2 linked regions of the Anolis sagrei genome follow. The protein of the gene in region 1 binds, or shares a complex with, the protein of each later gene. Links are inferred from orthologs where the notes say so. Each region holds a gene or a part of one and is shown on either strand. Other genes may lie near its edges. The genes, in order: NUP43 and NUP37.

Region 1 (9,232 bases):
GCGCGCCCTAGCCACTCCCTCCTTCCCCCAGCCCTCCTCTCAATCTCCCACTCCCTTCTTTCTCTCCCTCCCTCCCCCGCCCCCTTCAGGAGGCCAGCGCGCACGCGGACACCCACACAGAGATCCCTATAGACAGGCGGGCGGGCCGGGCGCGCGCGCACTCGCTCGCTCGCTCGCTCGCTCACTCACTGCGGAGGTTGTGGATGAGCTCGGAGTGGCTGGCGCCTCCTGACTTCCAGGCCATGGCGAGGCAGATTCTGCGGAGCAGGTAGAGAGCCGCCTTCAGCGCCGCGACTGCGCACAGGAGCTTGCCCAGGAAGGACACAACCTCCAGCGCCGAGACAGGCGCCGCCTCCTCCTCCTCCGCCGCCGCCCTCCCTCCCCTCCTCGCCGCCGCTGTTGCTGCTGCTGCTACCGCCGCGCGCCCGCCGGAGGGAAGGGCCGTTCCCTCGCCCCCCCGCGCGCGCCACATTCTCAACGGCCCTCGCGACGGGCACCCGCCGCCCCCGCCGCTGCCGCCGGTGTGCGCAGGCGCAGAGGGGAGCGCCAAAGGAGCTGGCGGGGAAACACAGCGCGGGGGGCGCCTTCGCAGACCACATGAGGGAGATGAAGGAGCTGAAGTGAAGGAGGGAGAGTCTTTGAAGGGGGCTCTTGATCCCTAACTAAATATAGGTGCCCCCCCCCCCAAATAATGTGTGCCCTTAGTAGAGTCTTATTGTTGTGTTTTAGTAGGATTTGTGTGTTTGATGCTGCTTTTATTTTAATCTGTCTGAATGATTAACTTCTTGGCAATGGAATGTTTTGCCTTATATGTTGGAACCCGCCTTGAGTCCCTTTGGGGAGATAGGGCGGTATACAAACGAAGTTAAATCTGATTTGGCCATGGTGGTCCATGTCCCAGGCACCTCTAGATTGGATTACTGCAACACGCTCTACGTGGGGTTGCCCTTGAAGACGGCCCGGAAGCTACAGTTGGTCCAAAGATCTGCGGCCATACTACTTATAGGAGCTGGTTACAGGGAGCAATCCACCCCCCTGTTTAAACAGCTCCACTGGCTTCCAATAAGTTTCCGGTCCCAATTCAAGGTGCAGGTTATTACCTATAAAGCCCTAAACCAGTGCTTCTCAACCTTGGGTCCCCAGATGTTTTTGGCCTACAACTCCCAGAAATCCCAGCCAGTTCACCAGCTGTTAGGATTTCTGGGAATTGTAGGCCAAAAACATCTGGGGACGCCAGGTTGAGAAACACGGCCCTAAACGGTTCGGGACCTGCTTATCTCCACGATTGCATCTTCCTCTATGAACCAGCGCGCACCTTGACATCATCCAGGGAGGCACTACTCTCTCTCCCTCTGCTGTCTCAAACACAGTTGGTGGGGACGAGGGAGAGGGCCTTCTCGATGGTGACTCCCAGACCCTGGAACTCCCTCCCTAGGGAGATCAGACAGGCTCCTACTTTGTCCTCTTTCCAGACACAACTAAAAACCTGGGTGTTCCGGTGTGCTTTTGATTAGGCAGTCCACCAGTAATTTTCCCTGTCCCTACGTTAAGTTCAGCACTTTACACCTGCCCTTTTAGCAGCCTACCTCAACACTTTTGATGCCACTATTCCCAGCCCTGTCTACTTGATTGTTGCACTTGATAATAAATGAAATGAAAACCCTTGTTGTTTTCAATTGTGATTGTTTTCATATGTTATCTTATGTTTTTAATTGATTGTGTTTTATTTGTAATTGTTGGGCTTGTCCCTTGTAAGCCACCCTAAGTCCCCACAGGGAGATGGTTGGCGGGGTATAAAAATAAAGTTGTTGTTGTTGTTATGCCATATAATGTAGTTTCAGAATGCAGATTATTTGCACCGAACTGGATTATATGAGTCTACGCTGCCATGTAATCCAGTTCAATGCAGTTGATCTGCATTCTGAAACAGTATTACAATAGAGTCTTGCTTTTTATTTATTTATTTACTACATGTATACCCTGCCCCGAAGGGGACTCAGAGTGGCTTACAAGTTATTTGTACATACAATATATTATATTATTAGCATAGCACAAAATTAGCATTATATATTACTATATTGTACTATACCACCATACTGTAATATTTGATGCAATATATATCATTATTATATTGTATTGTTATTAGTAGTAGTGTTATATTGCATTACATTATAATATTAATATTATATGTGTATACAATATATTATTAGCATAGCACAAAATTAGCATTATATATTACTATATTGTACTATACCACTATACTGTAATATTACATGTAATATAAACAGGTCAGTGGAATGTTGGATAAGCAAAAATGTTGGATAATAAAGAAGGATTAAGGAAAAGCTTATTAAATGTCAAATTATGTTATGATTTTCCAAGTTAAGTACCAAAACACCATGTTTTACAACAAATCGACAGAAAAAGCAGTTCAATACACGCTAACGTTATGTTTTAATTACTGTATTTACGAATTTAGCACCAAAACATCGCAATGTATTGAAACAGCTGTGGATCCAGGCATTAGGCAGACTGCATTAGATAATACAGAGCGTTGGATGCGTGAAGGTTGGATAAGTGAGACTCTACTATAGTAGCTAAAGTGGTTATTTGAAGCTTAAACCCTGTATGTCCCAGATGTAGAGCCCACATATGCATTTGGCCTGTAGAGAAAAATATATATAACCATAACCTAAATTTTGAATTAAATTATAATTTTATGCAAGGGGTTCAAATGGTTGCCAACTTGCAGATCTCATTTTAAACATTATCCTGTATACCAACCATGGGCAAACTTTGGCCCTCCAGGTGTTTTGGGCTCCAATTCCCAAAAACCAATTCCCAAACACCGCATTGACATGGCACAACATAGGTAGTGTATTTGTGGTACTGGTGCTGGAGGAAAAATTCTGAGAGTGCCTTGGACCTCAAGATGATCAAAACAGTCCATACTGCTCTCTGGAGGGAAGGATATTAGAGGCAAAGATGAAGTATGCTACTTTGGCCACATAATGAGAAGACAGGAAAGATAATGATCCTGGAGAAAAATGAAAGAAAAAGGAAGAGGGGTCGATCAAAGGCAAGATGGATTGATGGTATCCTTGAAGTGACTGGCTTGACTCTGAAGGAGCTGGAGGTAGTGACGGCCGACAGGAAACTCTGGTGAGGCCTGGTCCATGAGGTCATGGAGAGTCAAATGATTGAACGAATAAACAACAACAAATTTGTGGTACTGCATAAAAGGCTGCTCCAAGTATCACTTGGGGAACTCGGGAAATGTGATTTATGTTTAGGAAACAAGTGCAACATATGTATGTATCTATGTATCTGTAGAGAACAACCTCTTCTCAAATGGAAACCTAACTTTGCATATACTGTACCATATTTACTTGAGTCTTAACACTCACCTTTTTGGGCTAAATTACCGTGCCAAAATTAGGGTGCACATACAATTCGCGTCATACAGTAATCTTAGTGACCCCAAAGGGAAACAGTGTTCAAGAGAGCAAACTTAAAGGCACCAGGAGGGTGAGGAGGGACAATGACAATGTGTTGTCGAAGGCTTTCATGGCAGGAATCATTGGGTTGCGGTGGGTTTTCCAGGCTGTATGGCCATGTTCAGGAAAGAACTCTCCCGATGACAAGAAATCTGCTTGTGTACACCTTGTTATATCCACATCAGCGCATTAGCACTCATAACTATTGGCAAAATGCTTATGAGGAGCAGCATATCTCAGAGAGTCATTAACAAAAAAAGGTGAAAGAACTTTTGGCAGCTCTCCTGTAGCTTTGGCGGTTCCCTTGCTTCCACGTTAGCCAAACCTTTCTGGGCACCACGAGACCATTTCCAAGGACTAATGACTTCATGTGTGGACTCTCTTTAAGGTAACCAGATTTTAATCCCACTTCCTAACTCTGGATTAAGTGGCTGTCTGGGGAAAAAAGAGAAACTTCTTAAAAATATGCTAGAAAAATGGGACAGCATAGAATTAAACGAGACCCTTCCTGCCAAATTGGGACAGATATGACTATGCCATAAAGGCCTTTGCCAGTCCCAAGAAGCTCCCATTCATCCCACTTGTTAGTCCATGGCCCTATCCACACTGCCATATAATCTAGTTTCAGAATGCAGATTAACTTCATTGAACTGGATTATATGGCAGCGTAGACTCCAGTTCGATGTGGTTCAATCTGCATTATAGGAGTGCACACTGACCATTATAATGCAGTTCAAACTGGGTTATATGGCAGTATAGATGGGGCCTCGTCCAAAAACAGACTTTATTTCTTGACTTGCTCATCTTCTCTATTACCTCCTTTGTGGCTCCTGCACCCCTCTCCTCTCTAATTTATTTCCCTTCTACATTTCACAGTCAGTATGCCATAGCATTGAGTCATTCATGACAGGTAAACTGCATGAAATCTGCAGTGTAGTTGCAGCCCTTGTCGTTTTGGTCTTTCCGAATAGACTTAATTGGTGAAAACACCAACAGAGTCTGGGTTGCTGTGAGTTTTCCAAGCTGTATGGCCATGTTCCAGAAGCATTCTCTCCTGAAGAAACCAGCATGGACACAGCATATTATTTGAGAACACAGAAATGCTGGACTACTAACATCTACCATGTTAGATTACACTGAGAAGCTACTGAAATCCACAAGCATGTGGACAATTTCAACAGAATGGAGGAAACCATGAAAATGAACAAAATCTGGCTACCACTATTTTAAAAAATCAGGACAGTGAATAAAAAGCAACATTCAAAAAACAGGGGAATTCCAGACAAGAATCAATCAGAGCCAACTAACACCTCCCAACAAAGGATCCCCAGGCAGCAACCAGACCGGCTTTGAAGCTGCAAGGCCATTAAATGCTAATCAAAGTGGCCAATTGCAACATTCACACTTGCCTCAAGCAGGCAAGAGTTCTTTCTCCCACCCTGGACATTAAAGTCAGGAGAGAATGCTTCTGGAACATATCCACACAGCCCGGAAAACTCACAGCAACCCATTGATTCCGACCATGAAAGCCTGCGACAACACAGCCAACAAAGTCCGTTCCAGCAGCCTTCCCAGTAGAGAGTATTGACCTTTGTGGGTTGCCGTCTCACGTGGTGCTCGCCGTCCAATAGGAAAGGGGCGCATGCAAGCCGGGGGGAGGGCCTCGGCTGCGGCGGGAAGGAAGGAAGGAGCTTGTCTCTGGCGGCGAAGCATGGAGGAGGTCTTGGCCCGATATGTCTCCCAGAAAGTCAGCAAGACCCGCTGGCGGCCCCTCCCTCCCGCTGCCCTCCAGCCCCCGGAGGTCTTCGCCACGGGATCCTGGGACAACGAGGTGAGGCCTGGGAGGTGGAGCTTGGCAAGGCCATGGGAGAGGTCGGGCCTTCACCGAACTACAACTCCCATGAATCCATAGCACCGAGACATGGCAATTAAAGTGGGCCAATGCATTAATTCTGTAATATAGAAGAGGCATAAGCAAACTTGGGCCCTCCAGGTGTTTTGGACTTCGACTCCCACAATTCCTCGCAGCCTCAGGCTGCGAGGAATTGTGGGAGTCGAAGTCCAAAACACCTGGAGAGCCCAAGTTTGCCCATGCCTGGTTTAGGCCATTCTAGTATAGTGTCTAGATCAGGCGTCCTCAAACTTTTTAAACAGAGGGCCAGGTGACAGTCCCTCAAACTGTTGGAGGGTCGGATTATAATTTGGGGGGAAAAACATGAATAAATTCCTATGCACACTTTGTAGTGCAAAAAACACTTTAAAACAATACAATACAATAATTAAAATGAAGAACAATTTTAACAAATATAAACTCATTAGTATTTCAATGGGAAGTTGTGAGCCTGCTTTTGGCTGATGTGATAGGGTTGTTGTTGTTGTTGTTGTTGTTGTTTGCTTTCAAGTAGTTTCAGACCCTGAGCGAGGGCCAGGTAAATCACCTTGGAGGGCTGTATCCGGCCCCTGGGCCTTAGTTTGAGGACCCCTGGTCTAGATCCAGGGAAGTCATGCTACCCCTCTATTCTGCCTTGGTATTCCATCTGGAATAGTGTGTCCAGAGGAGGGTGACTAAAATGATTAAGGGTCTGGAGAACAAACCCTTTGAGAAGCGGCTTAAAAAGCTGGGCATGTTTTGCATCCAGAAGAGAAGGATGAGATGAGACATGATGACCATGTATAAATATATGAGGGCAAGTCATAGGGAGGAGGGAGCAAGCTTGTTTTCTGCTGCCCTGGAGACTAGGACGCGGAACAATGGCTTCAAACTACAGGAAAGGAGATTTCACCTGAACATTAGAAAGAATTTCCTAACTGTAAGAGCTGTTCAGCAGTGGAACTCTCTGGCCCAGAGTGTGGTTGTGGCTCCTTCTTTGGGGGCTTTTAAACAGAGGCTGGGTGGGGGGAGAGGGTGCTTTGAATGTGATTTCCTGCTTCTTGGCAGGGGGTTGGACTGGATGTCCCACAAGATGTCTTCTAACTCTATGATTCATATGCAGTAACTTTTCCTTATCCTGGTTGTTTTTCTTTTTTGTTATTCTCTCTCTCTCTCTTGGTAATCTTATAGGAAAATAAGGTGTCTTTTTGGTCTGTTGGAGACTTGGGAAGTTTGAACACAAATGGAGAATATAACGCAGAACCGCATCTTTTGTGTGATATTCAACATAGTGGCGATGTTATGGATATGCAGGTAAAAGGCTATAAAATGACTTTAAAGCTTTCCAAGCACTGTGTTATTGATGTCACTAAAGTTACACAGTATAAATGGGACACTGGTTCTGTTTGATACTTTATTTCAATACAAATTCATATCTGAATATTTTGTCCTTAGTTTTTGGACCAGGAAAGAATTGTAGCTGCTTCATCCACTGGAAGTGTGACTGTTTTTCGGCACCATCAAAATAATCAGGTAAATTAATCAGGTTTGCTTACATCTATTCTGTTGTACAAAAAATTACCTTGCTCTCAAGAAAACACAAGGCAGAAAAAAGTTGGTTTGTGGGCAAGGTGATCAAGTAGGTCACAGCAAGATATTCTTATATTAAATGGCTTTTCCAGATCTATTTCAGTTGCTTAGTCTAGTGAATAAAACTGCTTCTATCTCTCCACCACCACAGGAGAGACAATAACAATGTGACTCCATTCATTTTTCTGGATCACTCAGCAGCTTTAATTGCCATTGGTGCTGTTATCTTTTTTTGAGAAGTTGTGTGTAGGAGATACAGATTTTCAATGGCTTTGCTTGTATTTAGATTGCTATTTTTTAAAGGTCATATTGAGGGATTTCTTGTCACTTGCATAGCATTTGTGCTTTGAGGTTCCTCTGGGCTACATTTTCTTTATTACACTGCATTACACAGGGAGCAGATAACACTGTCATATAAATTAGTTGATCTAGCCCAGTATTGTGAACACTAACTGGCAGCAACCCTGCAGGTGCGTATTTCTCCCAGCCCTATCTGGAAATACCTGTTGGCCTCTCTATTCAAGTGCTAATCATTCCTAACTATGCTAAGCTTCTGAGATTAGGCAACATTTGTGTGAAACTGTTGTGTGAGGTCATCTAGAGATTTAAAGTGATTTAAGGATGATGTCCAGCTCCATTTCCTTTTTCATCAGTGGATGTGTTTCATCAGTGGCTGGCTGCAGGGCTGAATTAGGGCCAGCACAGGTTGAACACCCCTTATCTGAAATTCTGAAATCCAGGATCTAAAATAATCTTTATCCATAGCTGAGATAGTGACACATTTGCTTTCTGATGGTTCAGTGTACATGCACTTTGTTTCATGCGCATCATTTAAAACATTTGTATATAGAATTACCTTCAGGCTGTGTGTATAAGATGTATGTATCACATAAGTAAAATTCATATTTAGGTTGGGGTTCCATCAAGATCTCATTACATATTTGCAAACAACAACAGATCTAAAACATTTTGAGTAAGGGATACTCAACCTATATTGAATTCAATCAAGATAAGTCTGAGGTACTACTTTGGGGCTGCTTGTTCAGGTTGCTCCTTTAAGTGATTATCCTGATAGTTTGTGGGGCTGTCTTTATAATTAGGAATACAAGTATCATTTGTACACAGGTCATCTTTTACTGCCTTTGTCTGAGATTCCAGCTACAAGGCACCCCAGGCCATTTTGGCAGCTCCCATGGGGTCCCACAGTCTCCTCTTCAAATTCAGGCAAGGAGGAAATACTGGTGTTCGTGACTCTCTTTCTCTCTCAGTGTCTCTCTCTTCTAAGTCTTGGTCATTACATTTTTTCCACATGCCCATTTTCATTGTTTTTCTTTGGTTTTTCAGACTCTATCTGTAAGCCAAAAATGGGAAAATGCACATTTCTATGACCCATCTCATGGAAATGCACCCTGCACCGGGATTGTCTGCAACAGCCCTGAAATTTTTACAGTTGGTGAAGATGGGAGGATAAATGTATTCACAGTGGACCGGAAGGAAGCTGTGCGTACTGTAGGTAGGCAGTTAAGATGCCTGTACTAAAGTTCTAAACTATTATTCCAACATAGTGTTGTAGCCTTCAGTGCAGAACCCCTTAAATGCAGGAAAAATAAAATCATTTGTCTTTACCTGGGAAGTTATTGTAGCATGCCTGAAGTATCAATATTTTAAAGTGAATTTATATGACACCAGTAATATGAAAAACACTTTTTTGAACATGGTGGATCAGGTCTCCTGCCCTATCTCTTTGCTGAAGTACAGAAAGTTCTTTGCTAGATATCTGTAAACCGTATCCAGTTAGAGTTCCTTAGAGAATGCTATCAGTTCCCAAAGTTGTAAACAGTATTATCTAATAGGTAAATCAACATCAGCATTCCCCTTAAGAGTCTCTTAAGCTTTGGACTCTGAATTTTCAAAATGTATATGGCACATAGTTGGCATAACCTTACAGTTGCTTATTTGTTTACTGCACTAATTCTAGCATGCTTTAAATCAAAAGGACTGATATGAGTGTCTCTTTTAATTTCTCAGACAATGCTGACAGCAGCACACTTCATGCAGTGACTCGACTTCGCACAACAGAAATCTTGACAGTGAATTCCATTGGTCAGCTAAAAATATGGGATTTCAGACAGCAAGGAAATGAGCCTTCACAAATATTTTCATTGTAAGCACTTCATTCTGAGCTTATGGGCACTGTCAGAGCCAAATGTCACACTGTAACTACGGTATGTGACATTTTATTCAGCTAGGACTCTGACTACTGTCTTTGTGGATT
Region 2 (9,720 bases), on another chromosome or scaffold:
TGGGTTCAGTGGCAAAATACAGTACCACTTGAATGCACTGTTGAATCGTGACAGGAAAATATTTGAGTATATTTTTGTATTTCTTGATCTTAGAGAGCTTGTTTGTGTAAAAAAAAAAGGGAGGGGGATAGACTCACATGCAATGTGTAGGCTGCCCAATGATGACTTACAAATGTAAAAGCTAAAATTGCTGCCTTGAATTGTGTCTAAAAACTAAAAGGCAAAGAATATAAACAATTCATAAAGGGTGTAGTCAGGGTTCACTCTGAATTATATCATTTTATTTAAAATGCTATTGAATTTCTGTTTGAGCAGTTAAAGTTTGCCCTTGGCTATTTTGGTAACTATTGAGTTCAAGGACCAAGCTGTCCTTTGGCAAATGAGCAGGATAAGGAAAACTAAAAGCCAAAGTAACAGGTGGAAGTAATATAGTTCAAGTGCCTAGTTTTCATACAATCCTTACTGTTGCAATCCATACCAGTTAGTTTCTAAACTGTTTTCAAGGGCAGCACTATGGCAACAGAGCACAGTAAAGTAAGTTAACTTGAATCATAACTAAGGCATGTGCTGCTGTGATCATGTGAGCTAGTCTAAACTGGTCCAAAGCACTCATGGCGACACATGTGCCTCCATGGACAAAAATGAATCCTAGAGCACTTCTAGACTGCATACAAGGTCAATGTATGTCTATTTAGAATCAGATTTTAAATCTAGACCCAGATTAGCACAACTACTTCTGTCTTAACATTAGATTTCATATTGGTATTTCCTATTAATTCTAGTTCTTCCTTCAGAAATCCAAGGTTGCAGTTGCCTCCCTGAGATTACATGGTGAAAAAAGTACAGAAGGGGTAAAGATGCTTATTAGTTTAATACCTCAACACAAACCTATATACAGAACTATCAGTGGGTTATGTAGATGCTGAAAGGTATTTGGGAGAAGACTGAAACCAGGGAAACTATAATATTAATGACTAAAAAACTGGATAAAATGTCCTGCAACAACAGATTTTAAGTGCTCCTACCCTATGGAAAAAATAAACAACGATCAGCAATCTTTTCATCCTGGGCAGAGGTGATTAATAGGGTGGTGCACGGCTCTGCCCTAGGCCCAGTGCTGTTCAACATCTTTATTAATGACTTGAATGAAGATTTTGAAGGCATGCTTATATAGTTTGCAGATGACATCAAACTGGGAGAGACATCAGAATTCAAAATTACCTTAACATTAGTAGACCACAAGTTGAACATGAGCCAACGATGTAATGCAGCAGCTTAAAAATTCAATGGGAGTTTGGGCTGCATCAAAAGAAGTCTAGATCAAGGGAAGTCATGGTGCACCTCTAGTCCGCTGTGGTTAGACCACAACTGGACTACTGTGTCCAATTCTGGACACCACAATTCAAGAGAAGATATTGACAAGCTGGACGGGATCCAGAGGAGGGCAACTAAAATGATCAAAGGTCTGGAGACCATGAATCCCTATGAGGAGCACCTTAAAGAGCTGGGTATGTTTAGCTTGCAGAAGAGAAGGTTGAGAGGAGACGTTATTACCATGTATAAATATTTGAAAGGATGTCATAAGGAAGAGGAAACAGGCTTGTTTTCTGCTGTGCTGGAAACCAGGACTTGGAGCAATGGGTTGAAATTACAGGAAAGGAGATTCCACCTTAACATTAGGAAGAACTTCCTGACAGTAAGAGCTGTTCAGCAGTGGAACTCTCTGCCTCTGGTGGAGGCTCCCTCTTTAGGGACTTTTAAACAGAATCTGGAGGTGAAGGGTCTAAAAAGGAAGTCATTGCTTGTACAAGCAGAAAGGTACTGTTAACAAGAGGTTCCATATCTACAAAAGTCCACCTCCAGTTCTGTCAAAATTGTGGAAGTCACATAACCATAAAAATGAACAATTTTATTTCCCAAATGTAATACAATCTGAAGACAACAGGTTTATGGATTTTTTTTTTACCGATAACTTTTAGGGTATCAATCAAGTAAGATTAATTTGTTTCACAAGACCTTCAGTGGTCAACATCATGTAAATTCGATCATTTTAAAAATTACCATCATGGTCACAAAGTAGTTCCTACAATAGGAACTTAACTGTAATACGTACAATTTGGCAACTATGATGTCCTGTGCTGTTTCACATATCACTCTCAGCCTGGATATCAAAGAATGGGAGTTCTTAATATCACTTCCAAGACAGCTATCAGATCATTTAGTGCAGGGATCCTCAAACTAAGGCCCGAGGGTCGAATACGGCCCTCGAAGTTCATATACCCGGCCCTCGCTCAGGGTCAGCCTAAGTCTGAAACAACTTGAAAGCACACAACAACAACAACAACAACTATCCTATCTCATCAGCCAAAAGCAAGTCCACACTTCCCATTGAAATACTAATAAGTTTATATTTGTTAAAATTGTCTTCATTTTAATTATTGCATTGTTTTAAGTGTTTTTGCACTACAAATAAGATATGTGCAGTGTGCATAGGAATTAATGCTTTTTTCAAATTATAATCCGGCCCTGCAGCAGTTAGAGGGACTGTGACCTAGCCCTCTGTTTAAAAAGTTTGAGGACCCCTGATTTAGAGGCACTATTAGACAGTGAAGTGGAACTATATCAACAATCTTCCCAACATGTTTCTATTATCAAACACTGGAAACTAGCTGAATGGCTAACATGGTACCTGGTCACTGTTAACTATAATGCACACTAACCTGAAACCTGCAAGTTCCAACAACCACATAATGATTGCCACCATATGCTATCAGAGAATCTGCAGTTCCGCTCTCAAATGGGCTGAATTCCACCACATGCACATAATCTTCACATTCCACAGTATAGGATGCACTTCGGGAAGCTTCCTGTTTCATCTTCAGCGGAGGTATTCTGAGTAACCAGATGGAAGACTCCTCAGCTGGACAAGGAGCTAAATAGTAAACATACACATAGTTAGATAACGAGGCATGTAGCCGGGGAGGAGGGGGGGCTTGAGGGGCTTCAGCCCCCCCCCCCCGAAATTCTCATGGTGGTCCGCGAAAAGGCCTTTCTGGTGCATTATTTAAACTGTTATGTTTATTCATATCATGATCTGATCACCATGCTCAATATATCCTCCTGAGGTTTGTTTGTTTCTGGCATGCCAACCCCAATGTTTCGCAATCAAGACATGCAGAAAGGAGGGCAGAATCAAAAGTTTATTGCTTCAGTTGCCAAGGAAGTATGCCATGGGAATTACCAGATTTGACATATGCTTCAGTTAGGAGGGGATTCAGAGTGGTACGCAAGAAGGCCTTACTGGTGCATTATTTAAACTGTTATGTGTATTCATATCATGATCTGATCACCATGCTCAATATATCCCATATGCATGGGGGTATTGGGATAATGATACAAAAGGTTTGCTAGGCTAGACCCTCTTTCACTCAGACTCAGCCCCCCACCAAAACTCAGCCCCCCCCCGAAACCCCCCCCCCGAAAAAAATTTAACCCCCCCCCCCCAAAAAAAACCCGAAATCCTGGCTACGGGCCTGTAGATAACTCTCATTGTTCCAAATAATAATAGTAATAATAACAAAGCCCCACAAAACGTTTTTGGTGTCTTGCTTTTTAGGGATGTCTCTGGGTTTATTTGGGGGGCCAGTTCAGAAAATTGCATTGGATAGAACCCATTAGCACTACTTTCTTAGATATAGATATCAATGAACGTTCCCTTACTTAGAGCGGCCTGGGGTGTTGAGCGGCCGGTGGATTCCCACGCAAACAATCCCTTCGCTCGCTCACCTCATTCGTTCTGTTACTCTCCCGCGAAGAATTCGTGAGGCAGCTGCGCTTCCGGGTGAGAGTCTCTTCCGGGTCGCCGCGGGTCCCGCTTTCCGATTGGTTGAGACGCGCAGCGTTCGAATTCAAACCTCCGCCGCTGACAGCTGCTTCTTTGGCTCTGTGGAAGGAGCCTCCTTGGAGGGAGCGCCTCGAGGAAGGCCGCAGTGCCCAGGTGAGGGGCGTGGGGCTCCAGTGGGACTCGACTCCACCTGAACTGCCCTGGCTCAAGGCTATGGGACCCAGGGAGTTGTAGTTTTACAAGGTCTACAAGGCCTTTCTCCATCTCTGGCAAAGAGTGTTGTCCCTCACCAAACTACACCTCCAAAGATTCCATAGCATTTAATTATCGCAGTTAAGGTGATCTCAAACTGCATTAATTCTACAGTGAAGACTAGGCCTGGGCAAACTTGGTCCCTCCAGGTGTTTTGGACTTCAACTCTCACAATTCCTAACAGCCTATCGGCTGTTAGGAATTGTGAGAGTTGAAGTCCAAAACACCTGGAGGGACCAAGTTTGCCCAGTCCTGATATAAATATTGCGAAAAGGGACAACAGAAGTGTAGTGGTTTGAGCACTAGACTGTGACAGTGGAGACTTGGGTTCAAATCCTTACTTGGCCAAGGAAACCCTCTGAATGGCTTTGTCCGAATCTCATCCTCTCTGTCTTAGAGCAAAACAAAGGCAAACCCCACTCTAAAGAAATCTTGCCAAGAAAATCCTATGATAGGTTTGCTTTATTTATTTATTTACGACATTTAAATGCCACCCTTCTCGCCCCGAAGGAGACTCAGAGTGGCTTGCAAGATATATATGCATACAATATATTAAATTATTAGCATAGTATAATATCAGTTGTACTGGTCCATTGGAGGGAAAGATAGTAGAGGCAAAAATGAAGTACTGCATCATGAGAAGAATGGAAAACTTAGAGAAGACAGTGATGCTGGGGGAAATGAAAGGAAAAAGGAAGAGAGGCCGACCAAGGGCAAGATGGATGGATGGCATCCTTGAAGGGACTGGATTGACTTTGAAGGAGCTGGGGGTGCTGACGGCCGACAGGGAACTCTGGCGTGGGCTGGTCCATGAGGTCACGAAGAGTCAGAAACGACTGAAGGAATGAACAACAACAATATCAGTATTATATATTACTATATTGTACTACACCATTACATTGTAATATTATTAGTAATTTTAAAGTAATATAAAATATATAATTATAATATTATATTATTAGTAGTAGTATTATATTGTATTACATTATAATATTATAAATATTATATGTATATACAATATATTATATTATTAGTATAGCACAGGAGACAAGATGGAACTGTCTTCAATTGTAACCCTCTCTCTCTTCACTCTGCCCAGAGCAACTCCCAATTTTAGAGCCAGCATAAGTTAGAAATGAGTTATCGATTTATTTATCATGTCAGAAGCAAGTTGAGGGTACAGTTAGAATGCATTTAAAAAACACAAAGTTTAAAAGAACTTGGCATTATGCTAAATGTCCTTTGACCTGAAGTTGGCCACTTGGAGTGCCTCAGGTGTCACTGTGGGAAGGCCCTCTGTTTTGCATGTGGCAGGGCTCAGGTTACATTGTAGTAGGTGGTCTGTGGTTTGCTCTTCTCCACACTTGCATGTCGTGGACTCCACTTTGTGGTCCCCATTTCTTAAGGTTAGCTCTGCATCTCATGGTGCCAGAGGGCAGTCTATTCAGCGCTTTCCACTCTTCTGTGTGCCCAGGAGGGAGTTTATCATCCAGTCTCAGCCACTGATTTAAGTGCTGGATTTTAGCCTGCCACTTTTGGACTCTCATTTGCTGAGGTGTTCCCGTGAGTATCTCTGTAGATCTTAGGAAGATGTTTCTTGATTTAAGGTGTTGGCATGCTTATTGATATCCGAACAGAGGATGGGCCGAATATGTCACTGCCTTGGTCCTTTCATTGCTAACTGCTACTTCCCAGCAGATGTCAGATGGTGCAATACCAGCTAAACAGTGTAATTTCTTCAGTGGTGTGGGGCGGCATGTCTTATTAAGAGTCACATCCACTGTTTTAATGTGGTGAGATGTATTCCACACTGGGCATGCATAGTCAGCAGCAGAGTAGTAACTCACAAGGGCAGATTTCTTCACTGTGTCTGGTTGTGATTCCCAGGTTGTGCCAATCAGTTTTTGTACAATATTATTTCTAGCACACACTTTTTGCTTGATATTCAAACAGTTCTTCTTATAGGTTAGAGCATGGTCCAGAGTGACTTCCGTGTATTTTGGTGTGCTGTAATACTCCAGGGATTCATCTTAAGAAATGACTTGAAGGCACATAACAAATTTCTTCCAAGGAGCCTAGGCCCAGCTGTAGATGTGAGTCCTGTTCACTAAGTCAATGTAGATAAACCTTCCCCGGGTTGTTCTCTTTTAGATGTGTTTAATTGCAACTTGTATCCCATTATAGACTAGAATATCTGGACAGGTTCCAGGGCATGGCCGATGATAAAGATGCTTTATCATATCTGACAAGGAGCCCCCAGTGACGCAGTGGGTTAAACCCCTGTGCCGGCAGGACTGAAGACTGACAAGTCACAGGTTCGAATCCGGGGAGAGGCGGATGAGCTCCTTCTATCGACTCCAGCACCCCATGCAAGGACATGAGAGAAGCCTCCCACAAGGATGATAAAAACATCAAATCATCCGGGCGTCCCCTGGGCAGCGTCCTTGCAGATGGACAATTCTCTCACACCAGAAACGACTTGCAGTTTCTCAAGTCGCTCCTGACATGACAAAAAAAATCGTATCTGATGCCCTTTTTTGAAACCACCTTTCTAAAATCTAAAATTCTAAAATAAATTGTGTTCTTATGTTGAAAGTGCCATTCCTGTTTAATTGTGCAGTACTTTGAAAGTAGTTATAGTCCAGAAACTACATTGTTGTAGCTGTCACAAACTATGTTGAATTGGTTGAAATTATGAGATATTCATTGAAAAATATGGCAAAATGTGCTGCAGTGTGGGGCTGCATTTGGCTGATGAAAGAGTCAAGTTAATTAAGATTGTTGTTGTTTGTCTTCAAGTCGTTTCAGACCTAGGGCAACCCTAAATGTAAAGTTTAGACTGGGGGCCAGGTAAATAACCTTGGAGCACCGCATTTGGCCCATGGGCCTTAGTTTGGGGGCCCTTGCGCTAGTCCATCTTTTCCATTTGAATGTTCACAGGTCCTCTCTCTCAGTTATGTTCATTTTATATCTTGTTTTATTTGTTTTAGGATCATGTCATTTGTCCAGCAAAGAATCTTGGATATGATTCGGTGTTTTCGAAAGGAATGGCGCTTATATTCAGATTCTGAAAGGACAACTGTATGTGGTATAGACTCCATGCTGGTGGCTTTGCAGCTATCAGTTGCAGAAATCAATAAAAAGGTTAGTGTACTAAGAGACAGTAACTGGCTTGACCTTGAGCTCTGATGTGGGCTGCTCCATGAGATCATGAAGAGTCTGAAGCGAGTGAACGAATAAACAACAAAACAACAACACATATTCATTGTTGCATTTGTAAACTGCCCAAATTAAGTTAATATGTCTGAATTATTTATTTGTTCAGAACATTTATACCCGTCCTTCTCAATCTCTGAAGATGGACTCAGGACAGCTTCCAACAGGCAACTATTTGATGTCGACACAATATAATAAAATAACATAAAATACAATTAGCATACATTAAAAACATTAAAACAGTTGCTGGTTCAAATCGACATCCAAATCAGTCCACTGCAGTCCATTTAAAGCTTATCTTCACCAGTAAATCAGTCTATTCTGCAAATGCTTGATCCCACAGCCAGGATTTGAGTTTCTTCCGGAAGGTCAGGAGGGATGGGGCAGATCTAATCTCATCAGGAAGGGAGTACCACAGCCGAGGGCCCTGCCTCATACCCACGCAACTGCAATGGCGTTAGGACCGAGAGTAAGGCCTCTCTGGATGATCTTAAGGTCCTTGGTGGTTCATGGAGGGAGATACGTTTGGACAGGTAAACTGGGCAGGAACCATTTGGGGCTTTATAGGTTAAGACCAGCACTTTGAATTGTGCCCGGAAACTAAAAGGCAGCCAGCGGAGCTTGCGTAACAGGGGAATTGTACATTCCCTGTTCCCCTCTCCCGTGAGCAACCTGGCTGCTGAGCGTTGGACTAGCTGAAGCTTCCGAGCAGTCTTCAGAGGCAACCCCACATAGAGTACATTGCAGTAATGTATTCGGGATGTAACCAGAGCATGGACCACCATGGCCAAGTCAGATTTCACAAGATATGGGTGCAGCTGGCACACAAGTTTTAACTGTGTGAAAGCTCCCCTGGCCACCGCCGAGACCTGGAGTTCTCTGCTGGCATCATAAACTGGACACAGGCAGAACTGGACAATTTGGACAGAAAAACTAGAAAACTCATGACCATTCATAATTCATTACATCCTCACAGTGATGTCAACGGGCTCTATCTGCCTAGAAAGTCTGGGGGCAGAGGACTTTTACAAGTAAAACAAGCAGTCGAAGAAGAAAAACACTCCCTGGCAGAATATGTAAAGGAAAGCCAAGAACCTGCTTTAATTGAAGTCAATCAGAAACTTCTCAAAGCACAGCAAACCAAGAACCAGTACAAGAAAACTGCACTCCAAACCAGAGCTGACAGCTGGCACAACAAAGCTTTGCATGGGCAGTTCCTTGAGAAGATTGAAGGAAAAGTTGACAAGGAGAAGACCTGGTTATGGCTCTCATGAATGGAACCCTGAATAAGGAGACAGAAGGCCTGATTCTTGCAGCCCAGAAGCAAGCCATCAGAACCAATGCAATTAAGGCCAGGATTGAAAAATCAGCGGATGACCCAAAATGCAGACTATGCAAGGAAGCTGATGAAACCATGGATCATATCCTCAGCTGTTGCAAGAAAATTGCACAGACGGACTACAAACAAATACGCAACTCTTTGGTCCAGATTATTCATTGGAACCTATGTCACAAGTACCACCTGCCAGCAGTAAAGAATTGGTGGGATCATAAATCTGCAAAGGTTGTGGAAAATGAACATGCAAAAATACTGTGGGACTTTTGAATCCAGACTGACAAAGTTTTGGAACACAATACACCAGACATCACGATTGTGGAAAAGAAAAAAGTCTGGATTATTGATGTCGCCATACCGTCGCATTGAGGAAAAAAAAACAGGAAAAACTCAGCCGCTATCAAGACCTCAAAATGAAACTTCAAAGGCTCTGGCAAAAACCAGTACAGGTGGTCCCAGTGGTCATTGGCGCACTGGGTGCCCTGCCAAAAGATCTCAGCCGGCATTTGGAAACAATAAACATGGACAAAATCAAGATCTGTCAACTGCAAAAGGCCACCTTACTTGGATTTGCGCGCATCATTCGAAAATACATCACACAGTCCTAGACGCTTGAGAAGCATTCGACTTGTGATTTTGTGATACGAAATCCAGCATATAGATCTCGTTTGCTGTGACATACTGTACTTTTGTGTCAATAATAATAATAATAATAATAATAATAATAATATCTTGACCTTGTGAAACACAATGTGGATTAGCCATTCATTTGGGCATGGAACGAGCTAACTGCATTCTCACTGTGTTTTATTGTTTTTATTTTAGTCAGTAAATACTTCCTAAAGTATTGCTTTTTAAGCATTTCTCTGTACTATATTGTAAGCTCACAGCAGCCGCTCCCAGAAATGACACAGGACGCCAATCCGTGATCAAACAGGAAACTTTTACTACTGGATGCATATACACAATGAAAGCCAGGATTGGCACACGGACGCAAGTCAACTCTTATATACCCTCCCCCACATTCGAATCCCCTCTTCCCGCCTGACAAAGATCCCGCGCAATATTCCCC

What was found.
Region 2: NUP43 (region 1) and NUP37 share a complex: the UniProt entries of both Homo sapiens proteins name them as parts of the nup107-160 subcomplex of the nuclear pore complex. The link is inferred for Anolis sagrei from reciprocal best matches to the Homo sapiens genes NUP43 and NUP37.

Annotation. Positions count from the first base shown.
Region 1 is NC_090021.1:73,296,667-73,305,898, forward strand, and holds the start of NUP43 (nucleoporin Nup43), read left to right. Parts: upstream 1-5,180; 5' UTR 5,181-5,208; coding exon 5,209-5,328; intron 5,329-6,558; coding exon 6,559-6,681; intron 6,682-6,822; coding exon 6,823-6,900; intron 6,901-8,301; coding exon 8,302-8,470; intron 8,471-8,985; coding exon 8,986-9,121; intron 9,122-9,232. Other genes in the region: PCMT1 (protein-L-isoaspartate(D-aspartate) O-methyltransferase), read right to left, coding at 190-472. UniProt on the Homo sapiens protein: Component of the Nup107-160 subcomplex of the nuclear pore complex (NPC). The Nup107-160 subcomplex is required for the assembly of a functional NPC.
Region 2 is NC_090025.1:171,477,657-171,487,376, reverse strand, and holds the start of NUP37 (nucleoporin Nup37), read right to left. Parts: upstream 3,859-9,720; 5' UTR 3,787-3,858; exon of another isoform or gene 3,721-3,786; intron 2,933-3,720; 5' UTR 2,877-2,932; coding exon 2,721-2,876; intron 1-2,720. Other genes in the region: PARPBP (PCNA-interacting partner), read left to right, coding at 7,091-7,240. UniProt on the Homo sapiens protein: Component of the Nup107-160 subcomplex of the nuclear pore complex (NPC). The Nup107-160 subcomplex is required for the assembly of a functional NPC.